Linked DNA regions of Lonchura striata. The protein of the gene in region 2 binds, or shares a complex with, the protein of the main gene of each other region. Links are inferred from orthologs where the notes say so. Each region holds a gene or a part of one and is shown on either strand. Other genes may lie near its edges.

Region 1 (7,030 bases), on a different chromosome or scaffold from region 2:
CAGGGACGTGCAGAAGATGGAGATTTCCGTGAACCGTGAGAGACCCCCTTGTGTGTCCCTGCCCCGTCTATTCCTTATGAGTGCCTGCATCCTTTCGTGGGGGTCCCTGCCTGTGGCTTCAGTCACCGGCAGCCCGGAGCTCCCGGGACCCCGAGCCCCATTCACCAGCATCACCCTGTCCTGAGCTGGCAGTGCTGGGAGCAGGGACTGGCACAACGAGGTCCCGGGGTGCTGCAGGGAAGAGACCAGCTCCATCGCCTGGGGATGGGGATGATGCAGCCCTCAGAGGCTGGGATGTGTCTGGCTGGTGTGGGGCTGTCTCACTACCAGTGTGGACCAGTGATGCTACATCCCATAGTGCTTCATCTCACTGGCACCCAAAGGACCTCGCGCCATGTGTCCTCCTGGGGTTGTGCCTTGTCCCTGTGAGCACCAGGCTCCTGTGAGGGGCCCGAGATCAGCAGATTCACTCGGGTTGTTTGCCCCACAGTGAGAACCAGCATCACGTCTCGCTATGAGATGCGCTATCGCAGCACCACGGCTCAGGAGGAGGCAGCACTGGCTGCGGCGACTGCACGAGGTATTGGAGCAGGGAATTGCTGGGGAGCTCCTTTTCCTGAGGCTGGCAGAGCAGAAAACACACTTTGCTTTCTGTCAGAGTGAGACAGGGATTGGAGTGAAATTCCCACCCCTGCCAGTGCTTCCATCTTCCCCAGAGGCTGATGCTGCTCTGTACCTGCTGCAGGACACCACCTTGGGCTCTCTGACCATGTATGTGGTCCCTGAAACCTCTTCTCTCCTGCCTCAGGTAGGGAGCAGCACCCTGTGGTGCCAGCCTTTACATGCTTCACCCCTGGGAGGTGGCACAGGTGGCACTGTGCTGTTCTCAGGGCTCTGCTCCCAGCCCTCACCCTGTGCCACCCCCAGGGCATCAACGCGTACGTGGGGAAGCACCGCAGCGCCCTGGTGAGGGCTGGGGGGAGCCTGGCTGCCCTGCAGGCCCGGCTGCGGGAGGTGACACAGGTGATGTCCTTCACGGCCAGCTCCATCGCCGCCGTCCTCTCGGACCGTGTGCCCGACGGTCAGCTCAGCTTCGACGCACGGCGGAACCTGAAATCCAGCCTGGGTATGGATGTGCTCTCCATCCCTGTTCCCTGGCCTTGGGAAAGCCATCTGCTCCTGGGGAAGTGCCATTCCTGCTCTGCTTGTGGAACCCCTGGGTGTCTTCTGGGCTAACAGATCCCTTGGTCTGTAGCTGTTGTTCTGGGTCAGGGTTGGGCTGCGATTGCTGTGTTAGTGTCACCTCACACTGGGGTGGGCCAGGGAGGAGGGGACAGGCCCTGCTGCTCTTGGGAGCTCTGTCACAGCCTCAGTGGCTCACAGCTATGGGTCCTTGCAGGGTATGAGATCACCTTCAGTCTGCTGAACCCTGACCCCAAGTCCCACACCGTGGACTGGGACATTGAGGGGGCTGTGAACCGCTTCGTGAAGCCTGTCCTGGACAAACTGAGCTTGGTGGCCAACTTTTCTGTGGATTCACAGGTGAGGGCTGGGAGAGATGGCAGGGAAAGCCCAGACCTGACCTCTCTGGGATGCTCTTCTTTGCCAGCAATGTGTCCCTTGTGTGCCTGCAGATCCTGTACTACGCCGTCCTAGGAGTGACACCACGCTATGACAAGGAGTCCTCCAGCTTCCTCCTGAGTGCTCACAGCCTCCCACATGTCATCAACCCCGTGGAGGCCCGTCTGGGTGAGCACTGTGCTCGTGGCTCACTGGGATCTGTCTCATGGGACCATGGCTCCTTTTCCCCCCAGCCCATGTGAGAGCTGCTGGGGTGGCTGTGAAGGAGGAGCTGAGCTGTGGGCTGCTCTCGCTGTTCCTGCCAGCCACAAGAGTTCTGTGACTCTGTCCTACTGCAGGCTCCAGTGCTGCCTCACTCTATCCCGTGCTGAACTTCCTGCTGTATGTGCCAGAGCGCTCCCACTCCCCTCTGTACATTCAGGACAAGGATGGAGCCCTAGTGAGCACCAACGCCTTCCACAGCCCTCGCTGGGGTGGGATCATGGTATGGGAACCATGGGGGCGCTGGCAGTGCTGGGACAAGGTGGTGGCTCCCCATTCCCACCTGTTGGCCCTGAGGCCCTGGCTATGCCTCATTAACACGCATTCCTGCAGGTTTACAACGTTGAAGCCCCTGCTTCCCCCCAAGCCTCTCTCCCTCTACATGTGGATGTGGACATGGCACGAGTGATGGAGGTTTTCCTGGCCCAGCTCCGGTGAGGATGTGTTCTTCCCTCCCCAGGCCTCTGTGGAAATCAGCGGGGTCAGAACAGGCTGTACCCAAACAGCTTGTTCACTCCCTGGGCTCTGGGAGGCTGAGGGTGGCTCTTTGTGGCCTTCGAGGTATTGGCTACTAGCCATCACTGCTCTGTGGCCAGGGATGCTGGCACATCTCTCATCTCCTCAAGTAGGAGGCTTGGCTTATCATGCCACACTTCCAGGAGACAATTTGGCAGGAATGGGACTAAACACAACAGGGAAGGAGAGCAAGGAGCTAATGGAAATGAAGGCTTCTGATGTGGGCTGGGATCATCCCTTCTACTCCCAGGTTACTCTTTGGGCTGTCTTGGGAAGAGGTGCCCCCCGAGTTCCTGCTGGAAAGCCCAGGGAATGAGGGGCTGGCTGACTGGGAGCTGGACCACCTGCTGTGGGCCCACACCGTGGAGAACATCGCCACTGTGTCCACCACCCTGACCTCGCTGGCCCAGCTCCTGGACAAGATTGGGAACATCGTCATCAAGGATGATGTTGCCTCTGAGGTAGGGCTGGGGCACCCTGAGGGGGGGAGCAGAGAGGGCTGAATGTCCCTGCTGCCCTCCCTGGCCAGGGACTGACCCTTGATGTTGTGCCCACACAGGTGTACCGGGCAGTGGCCTCGGTCCAGAGCGCTGTGACCGAGCTGTCCCTGGGCCACCTGCTCGCAGCTTTCCAGGCCAGCAAGGAGGCTGTCACCTCCTCGGAGAGGGCCTTCTTTGATCCATCTCTCCTTCATCTCCTCTACTTCCCTGACGACCAGAAATTTGCCATCTACATCCCGCTCTTCCTGCCCATGGCTGTTCCAATTCTACTATCCCTGGCCAAGATTGTCCGGGAGACCAGGCTGCGTAAGAAGGAGCCCACCAAGATGGACTGAGCCATGGTGCCCTGGCTTGGGGCTGTCCCCACCCTGTGGGATGATGTTGTCACAGACTCATGGCCCAGAAAGGCACCCCAGGGTCCAGGCTTGGCTGCTTGGCTTGGGTGTGCCAGGGCCAGGATGCAGGAGTAGGAAGAGAGGCTGCTTTGGGAGGTGGGAAGGGGTCTCACTTTGGGTGCTGAGCCCTCCTGCACCCACAGGGGCAGAGAGGGGAGGGAGGGTGCTGCCTTTGTGTACCCCCAGCCTGGTGCTGTAATCAGAAGAAGCTGCTGTGTAAATAAAGAACCCCCTGCTCTTTGGGGGGCTGATGTAGGGCTGTGTGAACCTCCTTTAGCCTTCTTGGGGGTACCTGTTGCCCTGCCTTCCCCTGGCCCAGCTTTCATGCCCCCACTCCATTGCTTTATGGGCTCTGGCTCCTGTCTTACGGGTATTTAGCCAAAAATACTTAGTTGGGGAGGGGGGACAGTTCCTGGGGGGGCAGTTCCTGGAGTCCATCCCGACGATGGGTGTGGAGCCCCTGCGAGCAGCCCACCTTAGCGGGGTCCATCGTGTGTCGGTCAGGGTGCTTGGGGCGGGTGTCGCCCTGCTCTGGGCCAGGTGTGGGGTTTGTCCTCACCTCACCCGAGGGGGCTGACCCCCATGGCGGGGGGGGTTCGCAGGAAGGGAGACCCCGGCCTCCTCCAGCAGAAAGGCTTTGCCCTGATCGCCGGGGAACGGCGTGCAGGGGCCGCTCTCCTCCTCCGCCCTCGTTCCTCCCCGTGCCCGCGGAGCCGGGCGGCGCTGCGCGGCCGGGGGCGGGCCGGGGGCGGTGATGGCGATGCCCCTCCCGGTGCGGCGGCGCGCAGCGGGGCCGGGGCCGCTCACACCGGCGGCGGCGGCGGCGGCGGGGCCATGAAGGTGAAGAAGAGCGGCGCGGCCGGGGCGGCGGCGGCCAGGACCGAGGAGGAGCTGGGCCGAAAGGCGCTCATCGGGCCCGACGATGTGCTGGGGCTGCAGCGGGTCACCAGCGGTGCGTGCCGGGGATGGCGCGGGGGGAGGATGGGGACCGTGTCCCTCTGGGGCTTTTCCCGGGGGGAAAAAGGGCAGCCGGTCCTCCTCTCCGAGGGGTCTAAACAGGGGGGAAAAGAGGAGCCGTTCCCCCTTTCAAGGGGGCTAACCCAGAGGGAGAAGGGGAAGCGGTCCCCCCTCCCGGGGGACAAGAAGTGGGGATGCAGCACGGCCGGGGACAGAGCCCGCCTCGGGATGTGCCACCCCGGGGGTTGGGGACCATCGGGAGAACAGGGCAATCAATGCCCGGAGCTGGGGATGCAGCCCCCCAGCTCTGCTCGAAGGTCGGTGTTGGGATGCTCATCACTGTTCTCCCCATCACCCCATTCCCTGTGTCTGCTCCCACCCTGTGCCCACGGCAAGGGGATGGGCCGGATCCCTGGCTACAGCATGGGGGGACTTCGTAGCAGCCCCCCAACCCATTTTCCCCCTCTCCAGTATAACACCCGTGGTCTTGAGGGCATCTTGGGGGCGCTGGGTGGGAGTGTGTGGCTGGAGGGGCTGCTGTGCTTGGCAGAGGAGCTCTGGACAGCAGCACACAGGGCTGGGGAAAGGCCAGGACAGGGGGACATGGCTTCACACTGATAGGGAGCAGGTTTAGATTAGATATTAGGGAGAAATTCTTCCCTGGGAGAGTGGTGGGGCCCTGGCACATTGAAGCTGTGGCTGCTCTGTCCCTGGAAGTGTTCAAGATGAGGTTGGAAGGGGCTTGGAGCAACCTGGGCTGGTGCAAGATATTCCTGCCCCTGGCAGGGGTTTGGAAGCAGACAGTCTTTAAGGTGCCTTCCAATCCAAACCATTCCATGGTACCGCCTGTGCCTCAGGCCTGCCATGGCCAGGAGCAATCTGCCCCGGTGTCCCAAGAAGTCCTTTTTCCATCTCCTAGGACCTTTGGGTGGTCTCTCTGGGCTGTCAGGGCGGAGGGGCTGCCCTGGGGTCTGGCTGTGCTCCCTGTGCCTCACAGCACGCTGGCCTCAAAGCCAGCTCTGTGTCACAGGCTGGGCTGTGACGAGCCCTGGAGAGGAAGGATGCGGCTGTGGGTGCTGGTGCGTGCAGGCAGCCCCGTGGGGCTGCTGTGTGAGCAGGATGGGAGGAGGACAGCCCGGCAGGGACTGGTGGCAGCCCTCAGGAAGGGCTTAGAGGCTCCTCTGAGAGGGGCTGCTATTGCTGTGGACCCTTGGGTGCCCTTCTGCGAGCTGAGGTGCTCTGCTGGTGCAGCTGCGTGATTCACTGCCCAGAAATCCCCTGCCTGTAGCAGGGAGAGCACGCAGCAGGCACTGAAGCATCCTGCCAGCATCCTCAGTTGGATGGTGGATCCCAGCCATGGCCCTGTGAAGCACTGCGTGCTCACTTCATGGCAGCCCCCGTGTCCCTGCCCTCACCAGGGCTGTCTGGAGGGGACAGGGCCACCCCACACCCTTGCTGTCACCTCGTGTGGCATCAGTGGGGATGGATAGTGCCTGTTCTTGGTAAGCTCCTGCCTTCCCAGGGAGCAGGGATTGCTAAGCTGGTGAGCTAGGCTTGGGGCACAGCTGGTTGTCTGCTTCTTCCAAGCCCAGGTCAGAGTGCTCAGGAGCACAGGGAGGATGTGAAATGCATGAAAATGTTGCGTTCCCCTCCTGCTGTGAGACTTGCTGCTACCAGGGGTGCACAGCCAGGCAGTGTGATGATGTCCCAGGCTTACCATGGGAAGTTCTTCCTGTCCTGCTGGATGTGTGGGAGCCAGGAAATGCTCTCCACACCTGAAACCCTGGGTGAGTTTGGGGATACAGGTAAACAACAGTACATACATGTTGAGCATATTGTATATTATCACCCGGTGATAGATACACTTTGCAACTCTCCTTCTCAAGCTCTGCTTTTGTCCTGGGGAGTTCAACAGAAAGCAAAGGATATTTTTCAGATCTTTAACACCTAATGATTATTTGGAGCATTCGATGTCCTTTGCCAATTTCTACACCCTTAAAAACAGATGGCCAAAAGTAGTGATGTGAAACTGTTCCACTCTTCTGCTTTGCTAAAGGGGAGGAAGGACCAGGCTGTGGGAGAGAAGTTCACAGCAACCCCAACCTTTTGGACGTGCTGGGTGTCGGGCAGACACCACACCCTGTTGCAGCAATTCTGTCTTTGACAGGCAGAAGTTGAAGGAGGAATTGGTGGTGGGGCTGCAACAGAAATGTCCTGGTGCCCTGGGTGCCCTTTGTTGTTCCAGAGAGAGGATAATCCATCTTTATTCAAACTCGTGGGCCAGTAGCACTTCAGCTTGCACTGAACTGCACTAAACTGTGGCCTGTCTGGGACCTGGGGAGGGCTGGCTGTGTTTTAGGGTTGCTTCACCAGCCAAAGCCCAGCAGGGCTTGGTGCCACGGGAAGGTGTGTTTCAGGAATGCTCACACCAGGATGTTTCAGGAATGCTCACACCAGGAGCACATGCTGTGTTTCTGAGCAGCATTCCATGTTTCCAGGGAGAGGTGGAGTTCTGGCTGTAGCACAGAATGGTTTGGAGGGGACCTTAAAAACCACCTGATTTAAAAGTGCCTCACCCAGAACAGGAACACGGGAACCTCCCACTAGATGAGGCTGCTCCAAGCCTCATCCAACCTTTCCTCGAGCACTTCCAGGGATGGGGCAGCCACAGCTTCTGTGCCCAGCCCCTGCCAGTGCCTCAGCAGCCTGACAGGAAAGAATTCCTCCCTAATAATCTTTTCCATCAGGCAGCACAGCTGGACTTTACTCTTCCAGTAGGTGCAGCTGACCGAATGTGAGGTGGCTGGGCTGGGAGGGTGG
Region 2 (7,243 bases):
CTGGTGGCAGTGAGCAGGATCCCTTCCTGGGCTGGTGTCCCCCACCAAAATGCCGGCCCAGGATTACCCAGTGCTCCCTCGGGTGGGTAGATTTTGCATGCTCCCGCGACAAGGCGCATGCAGCACCACTTGCATGGGATGCTGAGGACACCTGGTGGGGAACTCCTGCGGGGTGGTGGCACCCAACCTTCCAGCAGCACCCCACCACCACCAGCCACTGCCACACTCACCGTCGTAGTCAGGGAAGCAGATGCTGAGATGGGCCTTTTTGATCTTCTCCAGGAAAACGTCCTTCTTGTTGAGGAAGAGGACGATGGAGGTGGTGGCAAAGTAGCGGTGGTTGCAGATGCTGTTGAAGAGGTGCAGGCTCTCATGCATGCGGTTCTGTGGAGGGACACAGCCTCATGATGGCACCCAAGTCATGACCAGGACAAAGCAGAGGGGGTGTGAGATGGTGAGCATTCCTCACCACTTCATCATCCTCCACCAGGACCATGTCGTAGGCACTGAGAGCCGCGATGAAGATGATGCAGGTCACACCCTCAAAGCAGTGGATCCACTTCTTCCTCTCTGAGCGCTGTCCGCCCACGTCGAACATCCTGGGCAGGACATAGGAGGGTCAGCACCCCCTCCCCCTGCCCACCCCCTGTCACCAGCCCTCACTGGGGGCTGACCCCCACCTGAAGTTGAGGTCCTTGAAGGAGAACTGGGTCTCGATGATGCCAGTTGTCTTGACGCGGGAACGCAGCACGTCCTGCTCTGTGGGGACGTAGCCGGGGGTCACCAGGCGCTCCAGGTCTGACAGGTAGCTGGCCAGGCACGCGGTGGGCATGAGACACGGGTTGGAACGCCCCTCATGCCTCCCCCCCCCACCACGCTCCCTGACCACGTACTAGCCCGCAGAGTCATTGAGCTGGTACTCGGAGGCGCGGTCGAAGCAGGCTTGGATGCCCGAGTCCTTCCAGAGGCGCCCGATGATTTCTGACATCTCCTTAGGCATGGTCCCCTCCTCGATGGTGTCCGAGAGGTGCAGCAGCTTGCGGGCATCGTCCTGTGAGGGAGAGGGGTTCAGTGGGGCCTGGGGACTGTGGGGAACCCTGCCCAACATGGAACACTCCTCACCTGGCGAGCGGTGTCCCCATACTGGATGTTGAGGGTGGTCATGGCCCGCACGATGGCCAGCATGGACTGGAGCGTGTTGCTGTAAATGATAGCAATGAACTCCAGGCATTCCTCCAGCGAGTAACCGTCCTGGTGGATGATCCTGGCCGGGGAAGATCACAGGCGTGGAGCTGAGCTGGGTGCCGTGGAGCTGAGCCACACGGTGGATGCGCCCCATGGCAGTGGCAGGGGGCAGAGTCAGGCACAGTGGGATAGGGCACCCCATGGAGAGGGCACCCCATGGCTGCAGTGTGGGACAGACACTGTGCACGGTGGGCATGATCAAGTGACCCCCCCCATGGCACTTACTTCATCTGCTTGACAATGGTGCTCTTCCCCGACTCCCCTGCTCCTAAGAGGACAAAACATGGGTCATGGTGGTGCCCATGCCATGGGCACTCCCAGCTGAGCCCCGTGCTGGCTCACTGAGAGCCTTGGTGCCTGGCACGGCTGCAGGCACTGTTGGCTGGGCTGGGTCCATGGCTCGGGGTGTGCAGGGGGATTAGCAGCCTGTGCCAGAGGCATTAAGGTTAGGCTGAGCTGCTGTGTCTCATGGGATCTGAAGCAGCTCAGCCAGGGACACTCTCAGGAACCCAAGGGAGGGGTTGGGGACATGGTGGCATTGCAACCCTGCCACCCATCACCCAATGCCCCAAACCTGTGGTTGTGCAGACAGATGCCTCCTGGGCCAGGCTGTGAGGATAGTGATGCCACCCATGGCCCCACCACATACACGGCACCCCAATCCTCAGCCACCACTGGGGACTGGGAAGGACTGGGAGGGACACAAAGCACAAGGGGGCTCCAGGGACAGACATGGGGTGGTGGTATGGGCTGCATAGGGGTCCCTAGGAGGATGGGGCAGGGGTGCTGATGGGCTGGAGTGGTGATAGGTGGAGTTGGTGAAGGCTCTTAAGATGGGTTGGTTGGGGTTAGGGGACCTGGGATTTGGGGGTTGTTAGGTGGGCTGGTTGGGCTGAGGGATATGTGGAAGCCAGGGGATCTTGGGGTGGATCTTAGGACCTCAAGATCTCATCTTCTTGTTGAGATGGTCTGTTGTGTTTGGGGTGCCTGGTAGGGGGTGTTGAGCAAGCTGGGATGAGCTGGTTTAGGGGATCCTGGGAATGGGGGGGGGCTGTTAGGGTGGCTGATTGGGTTTAGGGGTGCCAAATAAGAAAGAAAACGTTGGGTGGGCTTTTTGGATTGACTGGTTTGCTTTAGGGGTGCTGTGGGGGTCAGAGGACTGCTAGAGTGGGATGACTGGGTTTAGGGGTGCTTAGGAGCAGGGGCCTGGGGACTGTTGAAGTGATTTGGTTTAGAGTGGGGTCAGGGAAACTTTGGGTGTTTTACTGGGGAGGGGTTGGTTGTTTTAGGGATGCTTGGGAGTGGGAGGCTGTTGGGGACACTCCTGGGTTGTGCTGGTTTGGTTTAAAGGTGCCAGAGGCATCAGGGAAACATTGGGTGGGCTCTTGAGATGGGGAGGTTTGGTTTAGGGCTGCTGGGAATGGGGTTGATGCTGGGGTAAGCTGCTTGGTTTTAAGAATCCTACGTGAGTCAGGAGAATGTTGAATGAACTGTGAGCGTGGGCTGCTTGGGTTTGGGGGTCCATCTGGGGGGCAGAGGAATGTTGGATTGGCTGGTTGGGTTCGGGGGCAGTTACGGGGTGTGCTGGTGGGGTTGAGGGGTGATGGTTAGGTTGAGGGGCACTGGTAGGTTTCAGGGGCGCGCTGGGTGGGCTGTTAGGGTGAGATGCTCAAAGGATGGGTATGTCCCCCAGGGTGTTGTCTCCCTCTTACCCAGCAGCAGCAGCTTGACAGTCCTGGCGTCTTTCTCAGCATCTTCTTTGAGCTTCTTCTCCAGCTCTCGGGAATGCTTCTCCTCGGCACTGGCCCCGGCTCCCATCCTCAGCCCCGCAGCCCTGCGGTTCACCACCCGCTCCTTGGAGGTCAGCACCAAGATGGGCAACGAGCTCCAGCCTCCGGCCGCCTCCAGCGCTCGCTCCCGGTGCCCGCCGCCGCCGCCGCTGCCGCCCGCCCGGTGTGCGACAAGGACGGGGCCAAGGTCCCGGGGCTGCCTGCCGGGGGGCTGTGCTCAGCACCCGGGGCTTAAGCTGGGCCCCCCCGATAAACCCCCTTCAATCTGCGGCGGGCTGAGCTCAGCAATCCCGTGGCTCCCGCTGTCAGCACTTCTGCCGGGGGGGTGCCCCGGCCCGACCAGCCCCAGCTTTGCCTCCACCCTGGGGCCGGGGCGGTGACCCGGCCACCCTGCGGGAAATGGGACCCAGACCCATCTCCAGCTCTGCTGTGGACTCCAGGGGTATGGAACTGGGGCGTGGGATGGTGTGTCTGCTGGGATCTGGTCAGAGTGGGAGCAAATGCCCCATTGTCCCCATCTCACCTGGTCACACCCCCTGCTCTGAACCAGTGCCCACTAAGTAAGCCATGCCAGTGTCTCCATGAGCACTGCCCACAGTGATGGAATGTCAGGCTCAGTCACAAGACCCTGTGTCCCCAGGGACCCTTCCAGAACCCTCCACTAATGTCCCCATGCCCCCCGGGTGCACTCAGTGTGCCTGCCCAGCCACCCTCCAGTACACTCCCAGTGCCACAGGCCAGCTCAGTGTCACCTCCACAGCGTTCCCAGGCCCCCCAGCAACACCTGCACGATGTCCCCAGGGATACCCACACACCCTCCTCAGGGTTTCCAAAGCCCCTCTTAGTAACACTCCCCAGTGACTACGGAAGAAATCCCAGTGACCGTGAGCAGTCACAAAACACCCTGTCCTACATCCAGGGACACTGCAGTGCCACCTCTGTGCGCCACCCCAACCGCAGTGAGCCCCCAACAATGTCTCTGGGTCCCTCAGTGTGCCTTCCCAGTGTCCCCTCAATGTCCCCAGTGCTCCCCATTGCCACTGCGGCCACCACAGCAAAACTGAGACTCCCAAGGAGCATGGCAGTAACTCCCCGGTGTTCCCCCAGCTCGGTGAGTCCAGGCCTTGCCAGGACTGCCCCAGTGACCCCAGTACAGCCCAGTGTCCCTGTGTCACACAGCCCAGTGTCCCTGTGTCCCTGTGTCCCGTGTCCCGTTTGTCCCCAGCGCTCCCTCCCCGCGCCGCGGCTCTCCTGCAGTGCCCCGCTCGGCCGCCAGAGGGCGAAAGCGCCCAGTGCAGCTCCCAGCGGAGCCCAGTACAGCCCAGTACAGCCCAGTACAGACAGTACAGACAGTACAGACCAGTACAGCCAGTACAGACCAGTACAGCCCAGTACAGACAGTACAGACCAGTACAGCCCAGTACAGACCAGTACAGACAGTACAGACCAGTACAGCCCAGTACAGACCAGTACAGCTCAGTACAGACAGTACAGACAGTACAGCCCAGTACAGCCCAGTACAGACAGTACAGACAGTACAGACAGTACAGCCCAGTACAGCCCAGTACAGACAGTACAGACCAGTACAGCCCAGTACAGACCAGTACAGACAGTACAGACCAGTACAGCCCAGTACAGACCAGTACAGCCCAGTACAGACCAGTACAGACCAGTACAGACCAGTACAGCCCAGTACAGACCAGTACAGCTCAGTACAGACAGTACAGACAGTACAGCCCAGTACAGCCCAGTACAGACAGTACAGACAGTACAGACAGTACAGCCCAGTACAGCCCAGTACAGACAGTACAGACCAGTACAGCCCAGTACAGACCAGTACAGACAGTACAGACCAGTACAGCCCAGTACAGACCAGTACAGCCCAGTACAGACCAGTACAGACCAGTACAGACCAGTACAGCCCAGTACAGACCAGTACAGCTCAGTACAGACAGTACAGACAGTACAGCCCAGTACAGCCCAGTACAGCCCAGTACAGACAGTACAGACAGTACAGCCCAGTACAGTCCAGTACAGCCCAGTACAGACCAGCACAGCCCAGTACAGACCAGTACAGTCCAGTACAGACCAGTACAGACCAGTACAGCCCAGTACAGACAGTACAGCCCAGTACAGACCAGTACAGCCCAGTACAGCCCAGTACAGCCCAGTACAGGCCAGTACAGACCAGTACAGACCAGTGCAGACGAGTACAGCCCAGTACAGACCAGTACAGCCCAGTACAGCCCAGTACAGACAGTACAGTCCACTACAGACCAGTACAGCCCAGTACAGCCCAGTACAGCCCAGTACAGCCCAGTACAGGCCAGTACAGACCAGTACAGACCAGTGCAGACGAGTACAGACCAGTACAGCCCAGTACAGCCCAGTACAGACAGTACAGACAGTACAGCCCAGTACAGCCCAGTACAGCCCAGTACACACCAGTACAGCCCAGTACAGACAGTACAGCCCAGTACAGACCAGTGCAGACCAGTGCAGACCAGTACAGACCAGTACAGCCCAGTACAGTCCACTACAGACCAGTACAGCCCAGTACAGCCCAGTACAGACCAGTACAGCCCAGTACAGGCCAATAGAGACCAGTACAGACCAGTGCAGACGAGTACAGCCCAGTACAGACCAGTACAGCCCAGTACAGACCAGTGCAGACCAGTACAGCCCACTACAGCCCAGTACAGCCCAGCACAGCTCCCAGTACACACCAGTACAGCCCAGTGCCCCCAGTACAGCCATGCACACCCCCACTACTCACACCAGTGACTCTCCAGACTCGACAGAGGAGCACAGTATCACCTCCATTACCCCAAAACTGAAGAGAGTGCCCTGCTACAGCCCAGTATTTCCCACTACAGCCCCAGCCACCCCTACAGATCCATTACCACTTCCCTACCACTACTCCCAGTGCCACCAAGTACCAGCTCCTACTACCAAATCCTAATGCCTCAGAACTTCTAGTCCTCCCAGTACCAAACTCCAGTGTGCCCAGTACAACCTTGGATACAGCCCAGGCCCTTTCAGAACTGACCCCAGTACCTCCTGGGACTACTCAGAGGAGCTTGGTACAGCCCCCATATCAAAGTGCTCCCAGCATCATCCACTACCACCCCCAGTGCCCTCTGTAGTTCCTCCCCTGCTCCATGCCCCCAGTACCACCAAGTACCAACTCCCACCACTATATCCTAATATCCAGTACTTGCCCCAGGGTGCCCAGCGCTTCCCTGTGCCCGCAGGAGTGACTCTGAGTGCTCCCTGTGCCTTCAGCAACACGCAGCGGTGGGGCAGCCACCAGCCCAGCCCATGTACCCCCACACCCAGCAGCAGCATCCCCACAGACTGTCCTGCCCCCACACCAGGGACCCACTGCCCCCCGGGGCAGGGCAAGCACCCCGGCAGGGCTCAGGGCATCTCCTGGTGGGGACCAGGTCTGTCCCCGACAGAGCACACACAGGTCTGTCCCAAAGCCAGTGTTTATTTGGGAGTGCCCCTAGCTGCAGCAGGGGGCACTCACTCAGCCCTGGTCACCCCTGTGTTCCCCATGTACAACTATTTACAGCCCTCCACACCCGTCGGGGTGGCTGATGGGCTGGGTGCCCCAAAGACCTCTGGGTGCCGCTGTCACCAAGCACCAGCTTGAGGATTTACACCAGCATGGCCCCTTCTCCTTCCCTTCTCCATCCAAAGACCCTGGGGCCAAGACCCCACTATTGGCTGAACACCTCGGTCCTACCTTGAGGTCCCATCCCACCCCTGCCAAGCCCCCAGGGAGGGGACAGAGCTGTGTACCCTTGGCCCTCCTCCTCAGCTTGCCTGGTGGTCTACAGCTTCCCTACAGAAAGCACTTGCTCTTCCATAACCCTGTGGGGAAACTGAGGCACAAAACTATGATGGCCATGCCCAGCTTGCAGTGGGCAGCCCTTGTTTGGCACTGCCTGTCCCATGCCTCACCCCCCTGCCCTGCCCAGGGCATCTTCCCCTCCCTCACAAGGACATCCATGCCCCAGCACGGTGCCATGCCCCAGCTGTGAGAGGGGCTGTGTTGACCCATGGTTCCTGCACAACAGGACTAGGGGGTCCTTGGCAGGGGGGACGACAGCGATGGTGACTGCAGCCACCTCAAGGGTCCCTGCTCCTCCCCAGAGGTCCTTGCTCCTCCCTGGAGCTGGGGGTACACCACCCCAGTGACT
Region 3 (5,633 bases), on a different chromosome or scaffold from region 2:
AGGTACTTCAACTGCAGCGGCGCGGGCGCGTGCGGCGTGCCAGCCTCCTGCTGCCGGGCGCCGCCGCGGGCCGGCTCCGTGCCCGATGCCCGGTGCGGGTTCGGGGCGCTGGCACCGGGCGTGGCGGCCGGGGCCCTGCTGCACACCGGGGGCTGCGGGGCCGCGCTGGCCGCCTGGCTGCGGGGCCAGGCCGGGGCCATCGCCGCCGGCGCCACCGCCCTGGTGCTGCTGGAGGCCGTGGGAGCCCTCCTGGCTCTGAGGGTGCTCGGGGAGGTGACGGCCGTGAGGGCACCGCAGGGATTGGGATGTGCACGGGGCGGGTTTGGTCCCAAATAAACCTTGTTGGAAATACTGAACCCCTCTGCGTCTCGTCTGTGCCACCGTCATCGCCGTGGGTGCTGCTGCTGAGGGTGTGCAGGGACAGTGCAGCTGTCTGGGTGGGGATTTGGGGGTGTCTGGGGTGCTGGTCCACCCCAAATAAACCTTGTCAGAATCCTGAACCCGCTGGTGTCCTGCCCGTCCCACCCCAGGCCCTGGGGAGCCGCTTTCCCTCCTCGCCAGCTCACAACATTGACTCCTGTGCTCATTAGGGTTTAATGAGGATTTTTCCAAACTGAGCCCCCTGACAGCATGGGCAGGGGGGCCTCGACCTACATAGCACTACAGGGCTGGTGAGCTGCCCAAATCCTAAATGATTCCGTACTGAGCCAGCTCGTGCAGCTCCAGGTGGCTGAAGGCTTCCCAGGGACAGATGACGGTGATGTCTGCAGAGAGAGAGGACAGAGCTTGTGGCAATGTGAGCCCTCCCCAGCCCTGCTCCCCGCTGCCACAGGGATGCCATTCCCATACCTGTTCCCAGCCCCTCCATGCCCGGGATGTCATCACCAAACCTGCAAGGAGAGAGGAATTGTCTGGCCTGACCCCAGGCAGGGCCCACCCCCTTCCCGGGGCCCTTCCCCACTCACCCCTGCACCCCCTTTTTGGGGGGTTTGCTCTTGAACTGCCTCGTCTGCCTCTGCTTGAACTTGGGGGGTCCCTTGCGGGGGGTGGCAGGACCCCCGCTCACCCTCGTGGCCGATTTGACCTCCAGCTTGGGAGGCTCCAGGCTCATGGCTGGGGGGAGGCTGACAGCCCCGGGGCTCTCACGGCGTTCCCCCAGAGCTCACGGTGTTCCCCTGGAGCTCACGGTGTTCCCTGTGGATCACAGTGTTCCCCGGAGCTCACGGTGTCCACTGCGGATCACGGTGTCCTGCAGAGCTCACAGTGTTCCCTGGAGCTCACGGTGTTCCCTGTGGATCACGGTGTCCCCCTGGAGCTCACGGTGTCCCCCAGAGCTTATAGTGTCCCCTGTGGATCACAGTGTTCCCTGGAGCTCACAGTGTCCCCCTGTGGATCACGGTGTTCCCTGTGGGTCACGGTGTCCCGTGAAGCTCACGGTATTCCCTGTGGGTCACGGTGTCCCCCTGGAGCTCACGGTATTCTCTGTGGATCACGGTGTCCCGTGAAGCTCACGGTGTTCCCTATGGGTCACGGTGTCCTGTGGAGCTCACGGTGTTCCCTGTGGATCACGGTGTCCTGTGGCGCTCACGGTATTCCCTGTGGATCACGGTGTCCCCCGGAGCTCACGGCGTTCCCTGCGGATCAGCGCTGCCACGGGACAGCTCCTCACCCCCCTGGTGGGAAATGGGGCCACCAGCTTCTCCTCCACCCGCCCCAGGTGGGCTCTGCAGAGCCCCCTCCCCACAAGGCTGGCTCAGCCTGACCCCCCAAAGGCGGGAAGGGCACCCCGAGGTGCTGCTGCTCCTCCCTCCTGTTCCCCATCCCACCTGGGACCCCTCGGGCACTGCCAGGACCCTGCAGGGTGTGCCCAGGTCTGTGTGGGGGTGTGGTGGGTACCCCGGGCTGGGAAGGGGGAGCAGGGATGGCCCCTAGCACCAGGAGTGGGAATTTTGTGGCCAGAGCCCCGCTCTGGGATGGGTTTGGGGGATCTGGCCCTGCTGCAGAGCAGGACACGGCCCTGGGAATTAGGATCTGAGGCAGGGAGGTGCTCCTGGATGTTCCTGGGCGCAGGAGGAGCAGCAAACGACCCCAGGTCCCCTCCCGGAGAGCCCCGACTCACGGAGTGCCGCGATTCCCGATCCCAGAGCTGCTCCCTCCGCCCGGCCCGGCTCCCTCCAGCCCAGAGATGCTCCGGGACTTTGTGGGGAGGGAGATTTATCCTGCCCGGGGGTAATAGGATTATTTACCTCCCTGCTTTCCCCAGGGGTAATCCCGTGTCCTTCCCCTGCTCTGGGGGGGGGAGGAGGTGTCAGGATTAGCTCTGCCCGTGCCGGTGGGCAGCGGATCCCACGTGGGGGAATCCTGCTTCCCATTCCCAAAGAGATTCCCCCAGTGTCCCCTGATCCCAGAGGGAGCAATGGGACCCCCATTCCAGGCTCCAGCCCAGCCTGGGTGGGGGTCCTGATACCAGAGAGGGTCCAGCAGCCCCTGCTCGTGGCTGGTGTTGCTCCAAAGCTTCCCTAATCCAGCAGTAAAGCAATTAAAAATGGACTAATCTCGGCACACTTTAATTGAACTTCAGCCCCTACCACTAATTGCAATTAGTTGGGCTCCAACAAATAGGATTAAAGGGATCCAGGAGCGTTTTCCATGGAGAAACACCTACTTCTCTGGCAGAGAGCAGAGCCTGGCTGTTAATTGGGGTTCATTAGTGACACCCGAGGGCTGGGTGGCTTCCTGGGGACTTTGTCCTGGGATGACGTGCAGGGGTCTGTGTGGGTCTCAACAGCTGCGAGTCCCCCGGGATTGGAGGGGGGAATTTGGGACAAGTTTCTGGGGATTGAAGACGGAGGCAGAAAAGGCACCTTGCAGAGCAGCCCGGCAGGATGTGACACCAGGGACAGGGCCGGTGTCCTTGACAGGAGGCTGCTGCTGCCCACGTGCTCAGTGCCACACGCTGCCCTCCAAGCCCCCACGGAGAGGCCCCTAAGAGGCTTTGTGGTGCCAGTGGGGAGGGGTCTGGCACAGCCCTCCCCATCACCAGGGCATGGCCAAGGTGCTGAAAATCTCCCCAAGGTGCTTAAATTCCAGCTGGGAGCACAGGAGGAGGAGGGCTGGGGGGCCGCCCAGCCTGCCCTTGGCAGGGATTTGCCATGCTGGGGAGGGCACAGCATCCAGCTCCTGGGAAATCCGGGGCTCAGGACAGCCCTGAGTCACCGCCTGTCCCCAAGGACAGCTCCCTGTGAGACAGGAGGTGACCTGGCCTCGTGTGACACCCCCGGGATGCCGTGCTCAGCACACAGCAAACACTACAGACAACCCAGGCCCGGATCCTGCCACCCCAGGGGTGTCCCCCCCCGGGGCTGGGGAGCCCGGGGGAGGCTCAGTCCTTCCTGGCACGCAGCCTGATCTCCATCCTGAGGATCATCTTGATGTTCTCGTCCTCCACGTGCTGCTCCACGGCCGCCAAGGCCTGGGCGCCGCCGTCCCGGTGCCGCTCCAGCAGCTCCTCCACGTATCCCACCCAGACGCAGTTGGGGCAGCCGGTCCCGCAGCAGTGGGTGGGCGGGGGGGGCATCGGGGGCGCTGCAGGAGGGTCCCCCCTGTCCCCATGAGGGGTGGCTGTCCTGCTGTCCCTTCCCGGCGTGCCCGAGGTGCCCCCGGCCTCTGCTGCGGTGTCCGAGCGCTGCCGGGGGCTGCAGGCGGTGGTGGGCTGGGGGGTCCCCCTGGGGCCGCCTGGGGGCTGCAGGAACCGAGACCCCCGTGCTGGTGCCAGCCTGGGGGGCACGGCGGGGCTGCTGCACCCCCAGCTCAGCCACAGGAACCCCTGCTCCCAGGGTACCCCCACTGCCACCTCCAGCACTGCCCTGTCCCCTTCCAGCACCCCAATTCCTGCCCCCCACCCCATTCCCTGCTCCCAGTGTACCCCCAGTGTCAGCACTGCACAATCCCCCTTCCAGCACCCCAATTCCTGCCCCCCACCCCATTCCCTGCTCCCAGTGTATTCCCACTGTCAGCACTGCCCTGTCCCCTTCCAGCACCCCAATTCCTGCCCCCCACCCCATTCCCTGCACCCCCATCCCCATCCCCCTTGTTTTCTCCACATCCCCCAGCCCCAAAGCCCCCCTTGTCCCCTCATGTCCCCCACATCCCCCCTCGTCCCCCGCCATCCCCAGCACCCCCCCTGACGCCCCAGTACCCTCACGTCCCCCGGTCCTCGCTCACATCTCACGCCCAGCACCTCTTTGCCCCTCCCGAGGACTCCCCCCGTGTTCCCCGTGTCCCCCGTGTCCCCCCGTGTTCCCGGTCCCGCTCACCCCCCGGCGCGGCCCCGCCAGCCCCCGCAGCAGCATCCGGCCGCAGCGCCCTGGCCCCGCCCCCGCCTCGACTGACAGCTCTCACAGCCAATGGCAGCCCGGCGCGCTCAGCTGCGCGGGAGTGGCGGGGAAGGCGGGGCCAATAAGCAGCAGGGGGCGGGGCCGGGAGCCGGAAGTGGCGGCGGAACGGGCACATGAGGGGTGGCGGAGCCATGGCCCGGGGACCGGCCCGGGGCCCGCGGCGAAAACCGGGACCGGGACCGAAACAGGGACAGAGACCGGGACAGGGACAGAGACCGGGACCGGGACCGAAACAGGGACAGAGACCGGGACCGAAACAGGGACAGAGACCGGGACCGGGACAGAAACCGGCCCGGGGACCGGGACAGAAAGCGAGACCGGGACTAGGACAGGGACGGAAAGCGGGGCCGGGACAGAAAGCGGGGCCGAGATCGGAGCATGGCCCGGGCGTCCCGCTGCGCAGCAGGTCAGTGCCCGCGGGATCCACTCGGGGCCGCTCCCGGTTGGGACCCGCACCCACGCGCGGGGGCCCTGGCGGGGGTCCCGCTCTCGGCGTCTGCGTCCCGGTCTCTGCCCGTGCCCCGGTGCCGATGCCTGCCCGTGCTGACTCCGATGCCTCGGTCCCGGTGTTCAGCCATGCCCAAGTCTCAGTTTTCCACCGTGCTCAAATCCCAGCATCCTTCCGTACCTGGATCCCGCTGTCCCGGTGCCTGGGTCCCGCTGTCCCGGTCTCCAGGTTGTGGCGCTTCCCTGGAGTCCTCTGACTGTGCTTTTTCCTCAGGAAGGAGAAGAAGGACAACATGAAGCCCAAGCACCCCGAGGAGCAGGAGATCCCGTTCCGCCTGCGGGAGCTCATGCGGAGCCGCGAGGCCCTGAAGCGCCCGGAGCCTGGCAGGAGGCAGGCGGCAGGTGGGACCCGCAGGTGGCCCGAGCAGGTGGCCAGGAGCCTGTGGCATGGCCAGATCCTGCCGTGGGACATCCTCTGGTGACGTCCCACCCGTGCTCTGCCAGCCGGGAGGGACCCCCGCCGTGTCACCGCTGCAGAAATGTCACCCGTCTCTCCTAGAGAAGAAGCAGCAGCAGAAGTCCAAGGGCCCCAAGGCCCCGGGGGACATCCCCGTGCCCAGGTTCCGGAGGGGCCGGGGCGAGTCGGAGCGTTCCTACATCTGCCGCATGGAGCAGGAGGTGCAGCGCGTCCTCTTCCTCGCGGAGAACCAGCTCCAGAGGGAGCCTGAGAAGGAGGCAACAGCTCCAGAGAAGTCCAAAAGGAAAAAAGAGTGAGAGCAAGGCCCTGGG

The links.
Region 1: the proteins of GNAT1 (region 2) and UNC119 are in contact, whole or in part, in a crystal structure (PDB 3RBQ), measured with the Homo sapiens proteins. The link is inferred for Lonchura striata from reciprocal best matches to the Homo sapiens genes GNAT1 and UNC119. Residues at the interface, in NP_000163.2 of Homo sapiens: Gly2, Ala3, Gly4, Ala5, Ser6, Ala7, Glu8; in NP_005139.1 of Homo sapiens: Asp87, Phe88, Val89, Arg90, Phe91, Ile105, Lys106, Lys107, Gly126, Arg127, Phe128, Val129, Tyr131, Phe137, Val147, Glu163, Leu172, Ser218, Tyr220, Asn230.
Region 3: the proteins of GNAT1 (region 2) and PDE6G are in contact, whole or in part, in a cryo-EM structure (PDB 7JSN), measured with the Bos taurus proteins. The link is inferred for Lonchura striata from reciprocal best matches to the Homo sapiens genes GNAT1 and PDE6G. Residues at the interface, in NP_851365.1 of Bos taurus: Ser140, Arg201, Arg204, Lys205, Trp207, Ile208, Phe211, Asp227, Val229, Glu235, Val236, Asn237, His240, Glu241, His244, Leu245, Ser248, Ile249, Ile281, Phe283, Glu305, Leu306, Met308; in NP_776846.1 of Bos taurus: Arg36, Gln37, Phe38, Lys39, Ser40, Lys41, Pro42, Pro43, Lys45, Leu60, Val66, Ile67, Cys68, Pro69, Trp70, Glu71, Phe73, Asn74, His75, Leu76, Glu77, Leu78.

What each region holds. Positions count from the first base shown.
Region 1 is NC_134622.1:7,364,415-7,371,444, reverse strand, and holds the start of UNC119 (protein unc-119 homolog A), read left to right. Parts: upstream 1-4,023; 5' UTR 4,024-4,087; coding exon 4,088-4,205; intron 4,206-7,030. Other genes in the region: GPI-anchor transamidase component PIGS, read left to right, coding at 1-50, 491-580, 717-808, 928-1,126, 1,400-1,542, 1,635-1,749, 1,920-2,065, 2,176-2,276 and 2 more. UniProt on the Homo sapiens protein: Involved in synaptic functions in photoreceptor cells, the signal transduction in immune cells as a Src family kinase activator, endosome recycling, the uptake of bacteria and endocytosis, protein trafficking in sensory neurons and as lipid-binding chaperone with specificity for a diverse subset of myristoylated proteins.
Region 2 is NC_134614.1:10,258,912-10,266,154, reverse strand, and holds the start of GNAT1 (guanine nucleotide-binding protein G(t) subunit alpha-1), read right to left. Parts: upstream 3,064-7,243; coding exon 2,958-3,063; intron 1,514-2,957; coding exon 1,471-1,513; intron 1,265-1,470; coding exon 1,123-1,264; intron 1,052-1,122; coding exon 894-1,051; intron 810-893; coding exon 681-809; intron 600-680; coding exon 470-599; intron 385-469; coding exon 231-384; intron 1-230. UniProt on the Homo sapiens protein: Functions as a signal transducer for the rod photoreceptor RHO. Required for normal RHO-mediated light perception by the retina.
Region 3 is NC_134621.1:11,088,740-11,094,372, reverse strand, and holds PDE6G (retinal rod rhodopsin-sensitive cGMP 3',5'-cyclic phosphodiesterase subunit gamma), read right to left. Parts: upstream 1,112-5,633; coding exon 966-1,111; intron 891-965; coding exon 850-890; intron 765-849; coding exon 688-764; 3' UTR 578-687; downstream 1-577. Other genes in the region: TSPAN10 (tetraspanin-10), read left to right, coding at 3-336; OXLD1 (oxidoreductase-like domain-containing protein 1), read right to left, coding at 3,383-3,742, 4,317-4,352; CCDC137 (coiled-coil domain-containing protein 137), read left to right, coding at 4,511-4,803, 5,119-5,246, 5,404-5,614.